2 linked regions of the Sus scrofa genome follow. The protein of the gene in region 2 purifies or fractionates together with the protein of the main gene of each other region. This does not show direct contact. Links are inferred from orthologs where the notes say so. Each region holds a gene or a part of one and is shown on either strand. Other genes may lie near its edges.

Region 1 (6,378 bases), about 31 Mb from region 2:
GTGCGGGCGGCGCGGCGCGCTCCCCGGGAGCCGGGCGCGGCGCGCCGGCCCGCCGCGGAGGAAGCTGGCGCCGACCAGCGGCGGGAGAGCTTTCGCGCGAGGCGGGCGAGCGCCGAGGGCCGCAGGCCGTAGTCGCGCTCGAGCTCCTGGCGCGAGATCTCGATGTTGCCGGTGTACCAGAGGATCCAGCCGAGCAGGCTCAGGAAGACGAGCAGCGCGCCCGAGTAGATGAGCAGGTCGCCGAAGTCCCGGCCGCGCACCTGCAGCTGCGCGAACACGCCGGTCAGCAGCGCCGCCATGCCCGCCACGTCCAGCGCCACGGCGAGGAGCAGCGCCATCCGGCAGCGGCCCAGGCCGGACGAGGGCACCGGCGCGCCCGCCGGCGGGAACGGTGCGCCCGGCGGGGCCCCCTGCGAGGCGCCTACCGCCGGCGCCGCCGCCATGGCCGTGCTCCGCCGCCGCCGCCGCCGCTGGCTCCGACCGAGAGCTTTCCGCGTTCCGGGCGCGGCCCGGCCCGGGGCGGGGTCAGGGGACCGCGCCAGGTGTGCCCGGCTCCCGCCTGGTCACCTGAGCAGTACAGACTGGCCTGGCCCGGAGGCGATCTAGCTGTGTTTTCTGGGCAGGACCTGGCCTTCAGAAGCCTATGCTGGGAACAGCGGGACGCAAAGATGCGTGCGGCCTCTGTATCCCAAGGAACTCGGAGCAGCGCATGGTCAAAATTCAGGGTGTTCTAGTGGAGGCAACGTAGGGCGCTCTGGGAGCCCGAGCATAGTTTCTGTTCAGTGCCTACCTCCAGGCGCCTCCGCCCCCGGTGCACCAGTGGGAACAGATGGGGTGAAAAAGAAGGATCAGACAAGGCCCTGAACCTCAAGGAACTCTGGGAGGCAGGGAGTCAACAGAGTGCCTTAAGGAAGGAAACGGCTCCGTGGAGCTGAGGCTGCTCTCAGTCACTGCCGGCCTCCTGTGTGGCCCAGAGCGAATGATTAATGATCGCAAAGGCGGATCAGACACTCACAGGAACTCTGCCGCCACCATCGGATCAGAGCTCCGTGATGAAGGCAGGAGGGTAACCCCCAACATTCCCGTTGGCTCAGGTTTCTCCTGGGGTCTTTAGACTCTCAGGATGTATTACTCGCGAAGTCCAGGTGCACAGAGAGATGGACCAGACAAGGTCCCTGCCCTCCCCTCGAGGAGTTGCTGGACATGATCACATCAAAGCGCGCTAATGGGGTGCCAAGGGACTGTCATTCCTTTTGTTCCCTTGGAGTCTCTGTGCTGGTCAGGCCGAAGACACAGAGATATATCAGGCAAGGTTCCTGCTCCTTAAAGATGACCCTGACGACAGAAAACAAACGTCTATAAAGTGTAACAGGTGACATGGGGCAGGCTGGAGGAGGATGGGGGAGGCCGCGGGGCACAGGGAAGAGGCAGGGCAAACAAGTATGGAAACCCTCAAGGAACCAAGAGCTTTCCCAGACAAATCTTTTCCTCCAAACGCAACTCGCCCTTAAGAGGAAATCCACGGTTCCCTGCGGAGACAGTCTGCGAGAAGGTTCCGTCAGGCTTCTCTCTAGACTCAAATAGCTCTGGATTTAATTTTAAGACGGCCCTGGGGAGGGGGAAATAACAGGGGGTTCCTGGAGTTAGCCGAGGGGTTCCGAACGTAGCCGATTGGAGATCGACTGTTTCCGAGCAGATCCGAAGGGGCACGGGCCAATAAGTGGGAAGGCGGCCGCCCCTCCGAAGAGCGTTTCCGGAGAGTTTCGAAAATGTCCGAAACTACTTAACTACCTTCTTCGGGAATAGCCGAGGGCCTACGAAGAAGACTGGAAGCACCCGAAGACTATGGAGCAGAGCTAGGTTTTAATAGTTCAGGCACTCTCACGTTCCTTCATAAAACAAATATTTATTGAGTTGAGCATCCATTCTGTGGCCAGCAATGGGTGGCAATATTGGAAGAGGCCGCTGAGGAAGGGGCCGTGGGGCTTCTAGAGGTGGACACAATCGGAAACCCAGCCGTGGGCTTCCGACAACACAAGAAGGGCTATCCAAACTGTCCCCTTCCGCGTCGAGAACACGCCCTCGGGTCCCTAGCCGAAGAGTTCCGAAAATCCCCGAAGGGTTTTGCGACGGGCTGGCGGAAATAGCCGAGCGTTGCCGAGCTGGTTCGGAGACGGGAGGGGAGAGGCGGGGGACAGTCGACGCGCGTGCCCAGAGAGGAAGCGGAAATGCGTGTGGGTATTAAAAGCGTCGCTCCGCCCCCGGCGTGTCTCTTTCCGTCTCCGGCCGCCGCACGGAGAGGAGGTGAGGTGCGGCCTCTTGTCCGCCCGCGTGGCCGTCTCGCGCCCGCCGCCGTGGGTCTGTGCCCTTGCCTGGCCTCTCTCGCTGCGCCGCTCGCCTCCCTGGCTGCCCCCGAGCCCCGCCGCCCTAGGTCGCTGTGCATTTTCATTTTCTTGTCGCTCGTAGTCTCGGCCGCCTAAGTTCAGCTCCTCTACCTTAGGCCGCCCAGCCCCGCCTGGCAGATTTCTAAGCGCTCTCGGCCCACACGGTTCCCCCATTCCCCAGGTCCCCACACGCGGCCTTCCCCTGTTGTTCACCGTCGGCCTGCTGCTCCCTTGACATTTCCCGGGCCCCTTCCTCCGCAGCTGCCGTTATGTCCGCGCACCTGCAATGGATGGTGGTGCGGAACTGCTCCAGCTTCCTCATCAAGAGGAACAAGCAGACGTACAGCACCGTAAGTGGGGCCCCGACGCCTGGGTCTGAGGGAGGGACCTTTACGACCGCTGGGCCCTGGCCCCTTTCGCGACCGCCATGTGTCCCGCTTCCCAGGAACCCAATAACCTGAAGGCCCGCAACTCCTTCCGCTACAACGGGCTGATTCACCACAAGACCGTGGGCGTGGAGCCGGCGGCGGACGGCAAAGGGGTCGTGGTGGTGATGAAGCGGAGATCCGGTAAGCATCTGCCCTGGCTCGGCCGGGCGACAGACCCCCCCACACGGGCGAGGAGCTATGGTTTCTCAGTGTCGGGCAGCAGCACTAAGGTTTCTTGGGGTCAGGACAGTTGCCTGGGAAGCTGGCTCTTCAAGCTTGCCCTCCCCCTGTATGAGCTGGCCAGGCTGCTTTGCTTGTTTCATCGTTTGAAAAGTCATGAATAGGTCCTCAAGTTGTCCCCTCACCAGGATTTATGTTTCGGGGAGGTATGATTCAGTGTTGTGTTTAGGATAAGTCTTTAAAACAGCTCAGTGAATGTCAGTCTCAAAGGGTGGGAAAATTGGGCAGACAGGTGGGGGCCTTTCTAGCTCCCACGTGTAGGAAGTGACAGCTTGGGTCTGAGGCAGTGGCGTGACCCCCTTTGTGGCTGCAAGGACTCAGAAGGGATGCTTAGCCTCCCACCCCCCTAAACCGCTCTCAGGCGCGGCCAGGCCTTTTTATTTAGACTCGGAGTCAAGAAGAGGCAGGGTATCACAGCTATCTTTTTGTTTTTCGGGGTGGAGGGTTTGAGATAGGAAAAGTTTTTCCTCCGTCTCTTGTGAGGGCCAGTTTCCGTTTGGGTTGAGTCCAGTGTCTTGGTTCAGTGACAGCAGTGACCACACCTGTTGCCTCCATCTCAGAGGGGAAGGGATAGCCCCTTCCCTGCGAAGCAGCCCCACGAGCAGCCAGTTCCTTGTGCTGTTGAGCTTCCCAGCTTCCCACACTCCTGAGAACCCTGTTCTGGTGTGTTGAGCCCCCAAGGCTTTGCTTTCTCTTCTTGAATTGTCGGGTGGCCCTTTCTGGGTAGTCAGAAACTGGCTTGACCTGAGGAGGTAACATAAACCTTCTCTATGGCATGGGTCCTTGGCTTCTTGGGGGAAACCAGGAGCGTGGGACCCCATCAGCCCTGTGACACGGTAAAGGGGGTGTTTTTCTTTTATCCTGGGCAGTGGAGTCCAGGCTCACTTGTGCTCAGGTGAGGGCTTACCCTAGGACTCTTAATTGCCCCTGGTCTTCCCGTGGTCCAGCATCACCCCAGCATCAGAGCCAGGCCTCACAGTGTGGCGTATTAGACATTTGGTGCAGAGGAGTTGTCTTGGGCCCTGGAGGGTGCAGAAGGGAGAGGAGCCAGAGCTGCTTTCTGGGGAGTGCCCACTCCCTGGCTGCCATAGTGCTGCGAATGCCCGCCTCAGCTGGGCTTCTCAGATTCTGATAACTGCTGTGTGCATGTGGACAAGGGAGTCCCCGTTGCTTCTGCTTCTAAATCTGTGCTGTGAGACGAGCAGTGCTGTGTCTGCACAGCTGGGTGGGGAAGACACACCTGTACAGGTGCTGGGCCTCGCCTGCCATCGTCCTATAAATTGATGCCCAGAGATGGGGCACCATGTGCAGGCTCACACAGCCCAGGCACCCACCCAGGTCCTCTGGGTGAGATCGTACCCTCGCACTAGGGGTGGGCACAGAGGACCAGACCACCCGACTGACCCCTGGGGGCTCTCTTCTCCCTTCTCCCACCAGGCCAGCGAAAGCCGGCCACTTCCTACGTGCGGACCACCATCAACAAGAACGCCCGAGCCACTCTCAGCAGCATCCGGCACATGATCCGAAAGAACAAGTACCGCCCGGATTTGCGCATGGTGAGTGGGAGCCCAGTGAGGCCGTGGCAGGTACGGGGGGTGACTCCGTGGGCGCCCAGAGAGCCCAGCCAGTGCTGGGAGGGGCGGCTTTCTGGAGAAGGGGCACCATTATCCTCCTGGAGTGGGGCAGGGTCCCAGCTCGTGGGGTGGGTGCACTGAGCCAGCCTTGCCTCCCAGGCCGCCATCCGCAGAGCCAGCGCCATCCTGCGCAGCCAGAAGCCAGTGATGGTGAAGAGGAAGCGGACCCGCCCCACCAAGAGCGCCTGAGCCCTGCCCTTCCCCAAAGCAATAAAGACAACAGTCTTCTCCTTGCCTTCGGGTGCGTGCAGCTCCTGTGCCCTGCCCCCTGCGTCTCTCACCCAGGCCCCGTCCCCAGGCCTTCTCCCACCCACTGGGACCACACGGGGCCGCACAGTGTTGGGTCTGGAGCATCACATTCTCACAGCCTGCTAATGCGTGACAGAGCTTCAAGAAGGACCTAAAGGGGTTGGTTTTTAACAGCCTCAATCTCCTGAGTGTTCTTCTGTGTTTATAGTTTTGTGGTTGTGTTGGCAGTGTGGCCTGCAAAGGTGGAAGCATTTGCTGTGTGGGAGCCCAGCTGTAGACCACGTGTTTCTCTTGGGGTGGCCTGAATACTCCAGTGGGAGCTGGGGTGGGGAGGGTCTTTTCTGGCATGCCCATGCCAGTGGGCCTCCTACCCACATGGGTTCTGGAGCAGCACAGGAGCCTCTCCAGGGGACTGCAGATGCAGTGAGTGTCCTCGGGCAGGGTGGACAGAGCTGTCAGGGCCCCCATTGTGTTCAGGGCCCAGGGTGCCCAACTCTGCTTGTCTGAGATGGAAGGCAGCACCCGCACTAGTGCGGCTCATAAATCTGGAACCTGTGACTCTGTCTTGGAGAAGGGAGCTTAGGCTGCACCAACCACCCAGGAGGAAGGCGACAGCCCCAGGCTGCCCGCCAGCAGCCATGTTCTTACTAAACAGGCTGTTCTTGGCTAAAAACCCAGCGGGCTGACTGGACCTGCACCTGCTGCTGCACCGGGAGTGCACTTGTGCAGCCTCTCCCCCCAGCTCCCCAACTCTTTGCAGCCTCTCTTGCCACCCTTCCCCCAGGCTGCGTCTTCCTCGCACAGCTCTGCCTTCTCTGACCACCAGATCTCAGGTGGCTCTGGCTTGCTTCCCGGTGGCGGCCTTGGCCATGGCGTGGGCTCACAGACCACGCCATGGGGACCCAGTGCAGAGACCAGCACCATGTCAGCACCGCACAGCTTTGCATCGGGGCAGGGAGCAGCAGTTCTGGCTGACCACACACCCAGGCACACCCAAGCTCCATTCCCCTCCAGCCTTTCCAAGCAATGGGCAGGAACCGGATGACCCGCCAAACCTTCTGCCTCCCCTGGGCCATTTCGCCTCGCCCTGGGGTCTGTTCTCAACCCCAGGAGTGGGATCCTGGTGGAACTCTGTCAGGTGACCTGAAGCCCGCTCGGCATCCCCCAGCCCACTTCCGCCTTGTTTCCTCCGGGACACCTGGCCCCTCGCTGTCCCTCCACTCCCTGCAGTTCTGCCTCCAGCCACCTGCACTTGTTTCTCAGCCTGGGCAATGTGTCCTGTTCCCCCAGTGGGCCTTGAGGTCTCTCCTGACTACTCTAAAGTGGAGACCCTTCCCTGGCCAGCTTTGTTTCTCTCCAGCACTGGTGTCCAGCTGCTGAGTGTGCTGTGCTGGTGAGCCAGGTGAGTGCTGGATGTTGAAAAAGCAGGTCTGAGGCCCACGC
Region 2 (6,412 bases):
TTCCACCTTTAAATGCTGCCTTTAAATGTCTTCTCCATTTGATCTCACAGCTGGTTATGTGGGGGTCTCCAAACCTACTACCTTGAGCTGTTGTATCTATTCTGTCTGGCTTTTTTTTTTTTTTTTTTTTTTTTCAAAGGAATGCACCTGCAGCATGTGAAAGTTCCTGGGCTAGGGGTCAAATCAGAGCTGCAGCTGCTGACCTATACCACAGCAACACCAGATCCAAGCCACTTCTGCCAACCTACGCTACAGTCCATGGCAACACCCAATCCTTAACTCACCAGTGGGCTAGGAATAGAACCCTTGTCCTCATGAATACTAGTCAGGAACTGTTATTTTGTCCTTCTTGTTGGACAGTAACTCATAAAACACAAGATCAGGCTTTCCTGGTCCTAGTCTTTATAGTGCTCTTTAGGTGGTCCTGGCATATGGGATCTTCTCTGACTGCTACTAAGGATAGTGTTAAGGTTCCTGAATTGGAGAAATGTGTCTCTAATAGACATAGGAAAAGCTTTGTTTGAGACTAGGGCAAGAATACAAAACAGGTTTGTTTGTTTGTTTTAGGGCCACACCCACTGCATATGGAGGTTAACAGGCTAGGGGTTCAGTCAGAGCTAAGCTGCCAGCCTACACCACAGCCACAGCAACGCAGGATCCAAGGCATGTCTGTGACCTATGTCATAGCTCATGGCAACACCAGATCCTTAACCCACCGAGTGAGGCCAGGGATTGAACCTGTGTCCTCATGGATACTAGTCAGATTCGTTTCTGCTGAGCCACAATGAGACCTCTCCAAACATTTTAGATTTTAACTTGGAATAAATCTTTTTTATACTTTTGGGTTTAGTAGAGTCATATGATTGCTATGAATTAAGTAGTTGCTCAGACTCATTTTACTCTTCAGTGTCTCAGTATTCTCAAGACTTGAGATCCAGAAACTATTTCTATTTCTACTATATATTCGTATAGTGTTTATTGTGTTCTTACCAACCTGGGCACAGTGCTAAAGTATAAAAACTACTTGTTGTACATGATCTCTTTCCTCAAGGAATGCATAGTCTCGTAGAGAAGAGAGATACATGAATGTCAAGTTGATGGTATGAGACAGGAGATGGTGTGTGGTAGCTTTACACAGGGCCATTGCAGTTTGGATCCAAGTTCTGGTTCTGGCTGAGGAAAAAAAAACACTACGATGGCGTGTTTTCTAAGGGAAGATTTAGATAAAAACAGCAAGGCCGTCTGCTAGTGTTTTTATAAATAGATCTAAGAAATGTATAATTAGGAGTTCCCGTCGTGGCGCAGAGGTTAACGAATCCGACTAGGAACCATGAGGTTGCGGGTTCGGTCCCTGCCCTTGCTCAGTGGGTTAACGATCCCGCGTTGCTGTGGCTCTGGCGTAGGCTGGCAGCTACAGCTCCGATTTGACCCCTAGCCTTGGAACCTCCATATGCCGCGGGAGCGGCCCAAGAAATAGCAACAACAACAACAAGAAAAGACAAAAAGACAAAAGACAAAAAAAAAAAAAAAAAAAAAAAAAAAAAAAAAGAAATGTATAATTAAGCTAGTTTTGAAAACAACTCTTTAATATCATTAAATATCCAGGCATGTTGCATCTCATTGTCAGCTGTGTCATCTCAGTGTCATGTTTTTTTTAACTATTTATTGGATTGAATCAGAATCCAAACAAGATCCTTATGTTGTGATTGATTGCTCTATGTCTTGAGCCTCTTTTGTCTATATCAGGGTTTCTCAACCTCTGCACTATTGACATTTGGGGGCCAATAATTCTTTGTTGTGGAGGACTGACCTGTGCATAGGAGGATGTTTAGTAACATCTGTGGCCTCTACCCACTAGATTACTGGATACTGACAGCACACCCAGCCCAGTAGTGACAACCAAAAATGTGTCCAGGCCATGATCAGAGTTCCTGCTGTGGTGCACCGGGATCATTGGCGTCTTGGGAGTGCTGGGACACAGGTTAGATCCCTGGCCTGGCACAGTGGGTTAAGGATCTGGCGTTGTTGCAGCTGCTGTTTAGGTCACAACTGTGATTCAGATCTGATCCCTAGCCTGGGAATGCCATATGCTGTGGGGTGGCCAAAACAGAAAAAAAGAAAGAAGAACCATTGACCAGGAGGTTCTCCCTCTATCCATCGTGATTTTTTTCTTGTGATTTATTTGCAGAAGAAAGTAAGTAGTTAATCCTACAGTTTCTTTCAGTCTGGATTTCATGAATTGTATTCCTGTAGTATAATTTAACATCATTTGTCATCAGTTTCCTGTTAATTGGTAATTGATTCTAGAGACTTGATTATCAGTTTCAGAATTTTTTGTTTTATTTGACAAGACTGTTTTATAAGTGGTCCATTCTTTCATTGGGAAGCACATAATACTGTTTTGTCTTTGTGTAACATTAACCATTGAACCTTATACATGCATCAGGGGGTCTTTGTTTTGTTTCAAAATGTATGTGTTTTCAGTTAGATAAGCTTCATTTTGAATAACTGTCTGTGTTCTCCCTTAATAAAGGAAGGGGAAATGGAAGGTGAGGCGGTTGAAGCCATTGTGGAAGAGTCTGAAACTTTCATTAAAGGAAAGGAGAGAAAGACTTACCAGAGACGCCGGGAAGGGGGCCAGGAAGAGGACACTTGCCATCTACCCCAGAACCAGACTGATGGGGGTGAGGTGGTCCAGGATGTCAATAGTAGTGTACAGATGGTAATGATGGAACAGCTGGATCCTACCCTTCTTCAGATGAAGACTGAAGTAATGGAGGGTGCAGTTGCACCAGAAACGGAGGCTGCTGTGGACGATACCCAGATTATAACCTTGCAGGTTGTAAATATGGAGGAACAGCCTATAAACATAGGAGAGCTGCAGCTTGTGCAAGTACCCGTTCCTGTGACAGTACCTGTTGCTACCACTTCAGTAGAAGAACTTCAGGGGGCTTATGAGAATGAAGTGTCTAAAGAGGGCCTTGCAGAAAGTGAACCCATGATATGTCACACCTTGCCTTTGCCTGAAGGGTTTCAAGTGGTAAAAGTGGGGGCCAATGGAGAGGTGGAGACACTAGAACAAGGGGAACTTCCACCTCAGGAAGATCCTAGTTGGCAGAAAGACCCAGACTATCAGCCACCAGCCAAAAAAACAAAGAAAACCAAAAAGAGCAAATTGCGTTACACAGAGGAGGGCAAAGATGTGGATGTATCTGTCTATGATTTTGAAGAAGAACAACAGGAGGGCCTGCTGTCAGAGGTTAATGCAGAGAAAGTGGTTGGTAACATGAAACCTCCAAAACCAACAAAAATTAAAAAGAAAGGTAAAAATGAGTTTATCCATTATACTCTAAATAAAACCATTTTGGGATAAAGTACATAACACAGTGCATATGCAGGTTATTTTATATTAAATGGATTTATTTTGAAGATTATGATGTGAGTACTAGTCTTTTTATACATTTTGAAAGAAGTTTTTACGGGTTGAATAATTTTTAAGTCCTAAAGAGAATAAGTAAATCTATTAGTGGCATGAGACAGTTATGACTCAGTATGAGTTAGATTGGGTTTAGTTTTTAAAAGCTAATGAAATATATTTGTGGAAATTTAAGATTAGGATTAATCTTAACACTTTGAAACTCTGCAATAAGTAAGTGTTCTATTTTGCATATAGGTGTAAAGAAGACATTCCAGTGTGAGCTTTGCAGTTACACGTGTCCACGGCGTTCAAATTTGGATCGGCACATGAAAAGTCACACTGATGAGAGACCACACAAGTGCCATCTCTGTGGCAGGGCATTCAGAACAGTCACCCTTCTGAGGAATCACCTAAACACACACACAGGTGCTGGATAAGAATGTTTGGGGTTGAGTTCCTGTTGTTGCTCAGTAACAAACACAACTAGTGTCCATGAGGATGCAGGTTCGATCTGTGACCTTGCTCAGTGGGTTAAGGATCCAGTGTTGCTGCAAGTTGCAGCATAGGTCACAGATGAAGCCAGGGTCTGGTGTTCAACCCCTGGCTGGAGACTTCCATATGTCGCAGGTGTGGCCATAAAAAGAAAAAAAAAAGAATGTTAGGGGCTACAGCATAGCAAAAGTTAAAACTTATGTTTTAAATATCGCCTTAGGTGATTCAAGTGGCAGTAAGAGTGGGAAGATTTTTTTGTTCTTTCTTATGGCACCCTCCCTGTAATCATTATTTATTATAGGCAGTTGGGCTTAGTTTCAGGCAAATGTAAATAAAATTTACTGGAAAAATAATCCAAGTTATATAAGGATGGTAATTCAGAAAAAGATTTTCTATGATATAATAGAAAATATGCATGTAATATAATTTCCTGAAGGCATCACCACTGTGTTGCTAAGGTTTTAACAACAGTAACAAAAACTAAGCCCAAAATCCTGAGCAGTAATTGCTGGGCACTACGAGGAAGAGGCACTATGAAGAACATTAGAAGTAAAAATGAGGGAGTTCCCGGAGTTCTTGTGGCACAGCGGAAACGAATCCAACTAGGAACCATGAAATTGCAGGTTCAATCCCTGACCTTGCTCAGTGGGTTAAGGATCTGGTGTTACCGTGAGCTATAGTGTAGGTCACAGATGCAGCTCAGACCTGCGTGGCTGTGTCTGTGGTATAGCTATAGCCGGTAGCTATAGTTCCAATTGGAACAGGCCCCTAGCCTGTTAACCTCCATATGCCACTGCTGTTGCCCTAAAAAGACCCCCCCAAAAAAGGAGATAAAAATGAAATTCTGCCTTTGTAAAAACCATGGTTTCTGGTTGTTTGACCTCAATGAGGATATTTTATAGTCTCAAAAAAATTTAAGACGTCATTCCGGAAATTCAGGCATTCATTCATGGTCCATACATGGTTAATATTCTGACATTAGCTTCATGTTGGTTGTGGTCAGGACCTGGGATCGCCAAAGTGGAGGAACTCTGCACTGAAGCTCTCTTTAGACTTTCTTTTGGGCTCTTTACACCTTTGGTGTTGACATTTGGCTGCAAGTACTAATAGAAACTTCTCTCACCCAGTTCTTGATGCAGAAAGCTTTCCTCTATCCAGAGGCCCCACCTCATTTTATATAACAACTCTAGTTTTTTATCTTATGTGCCAGTTTCTGATGGAACGTGATCACGTAACAGTTGGCCTCTGAGCAGTATGCTGTGCATTAGTGTATTTACTAATATGACTCAGTCGCTTTTCACTAACTCCCTAAACACTTAGTAATATGTTTTAATTGGTAGTTTGAAGGCCCTAGGAAAAGGACATAAGACTAGATAAAAGCAGCTGGCCCCATGATAGTGGGGAGTGCCTTGATGTGGGCACTGCATTTCATGGTCTAGTTCTCAGCTTTGAAAAGAAATTCAGTCTCTCTGGCTATTCCAGGATAATTTGGCAGGACTAATTCATGCCAGCCAAACCTTCAAGGGTCAGATGTATAACAAAAAAATCAGTATATGGTAAGGAATACAACTTTCATTTTCTAGATGCAGTTGTATTGCATTCTAGGGGATATCTTTGCCTTTGTCAAGGTGCTGTGGCAGTTATGAAGGGTAGCTTAGCATGGACCTTGAGCAGAGGGACATAGGCATCTCTGGGAGAATCATTTCTGCAGATTGCTGGTCCCATTCATCACATTGTGACTCTTGCTAATTCCATTCTCAAAGGTAGCCAGCTTTTGATTTTGGTGCTTGGGATTGCCTTGCTGCTCACCCCTTACCTGCAGCCTGCAATTACAGATGGTCCCTAGTTTATAAATAATAACCTACAAAAAAGCACTGTGTTCTACTGTCAACTTTATCTCCTTATTGTCTTTATTATCTGGGCATGGTATTTCCAGTGCAGTAAAAGGCTAGAGACAATCTACCAAAGTACTCTTATGTTATGGGGCTACTTTATGAAGACATATGAAAAGCGTTAAGATTATCTCAGTGAAAGAAAAATACAAAACAAATATAGAGGGTATATTATTCATAAAAACAGTTAAGTATTCCACCACTTGACATTCGGATCACAGACTGTTAGACATGGGTGTTTGAAAGTGATCTGTTTAAATCACATAAAAGGCAATACTACTTTATAAAACCTTTGATAAATCTCTAGAAATCCTTATCAAAACAAATTTATACAGGAAACATATTTGTCTGTTTTTTTAGTGTCTCTCTCTCTCTCTCTCTTTTTTTTTTTTTTTTTTTGTTTTTTTGTCTTTTTAAGGCTGCACCCACAGCATATGGAGATTCCCAGGCTAGGGATCTTATCAGAGCTACAACAACTTCAGATCCAAGCCATGTCTGCCACCTACACCACAGCTCACTGCAAAGCCGGATCATTAACCCACTGAGCGAGGCCAGGGATTGAACCTGAAACCTCATGGTTCCTAGTCAGATTCGTTTCTGCTGCACCACG

What was found. The genes of interacting proteins can lie anywhere in the genome.
Region 1: the proteins of CTCF (region 2) and RPL28 purify together in Homo sapiens (affinity purification with mass spectrometry; 3 studies listed by BioGRID and IntAct, with this or other methods). This does not show direct contact. The link is inferred for Sus scrofa from reciprocal best matches to the Homo sapiens genes CTCF and RPL28.

Annotation. Positions count from the first base shown.
Region 1 is NC_010448.4:59,554,417-59,560,794, forward strand, and holds RPL28 (60S ribosomal protein L28), read left to right. Parts: upstream 1-2,169; 5' UTR 2,170-2,228; coding exon 2,229-2,304; exon of another isoform or gene 2,305-2,431; intron 2,432-2,565; exon of another isoform or gene 2,566-2,645; coding exon 2,646-2,734; intron 2,735-2,829; coding exon 2,830-2,953; intron 2,954-4,489; coding exon 4,490-4,608; intron 4,609-4,785; coding exon 4,786-4,875; 3' UTR 4,876-4,921; downstream 4,922-6,378. Other genes in the region: TMEM238 (transmembrane protein 238), read right to left, coding at 1-443.
Region 2 is NC_010448.4:28,232,057-28,238,468, forward strand, and holds the start of CTCF (CCCTC-binding factor (zinc finger protein)), read left to right. Parts: upstream 1-2,533; 5' UTR 2,534-2,542; coding exon 2,543-3,323; intron 3,324-3,673; coding exon 3,674-3,844; intron 3,845-6,412.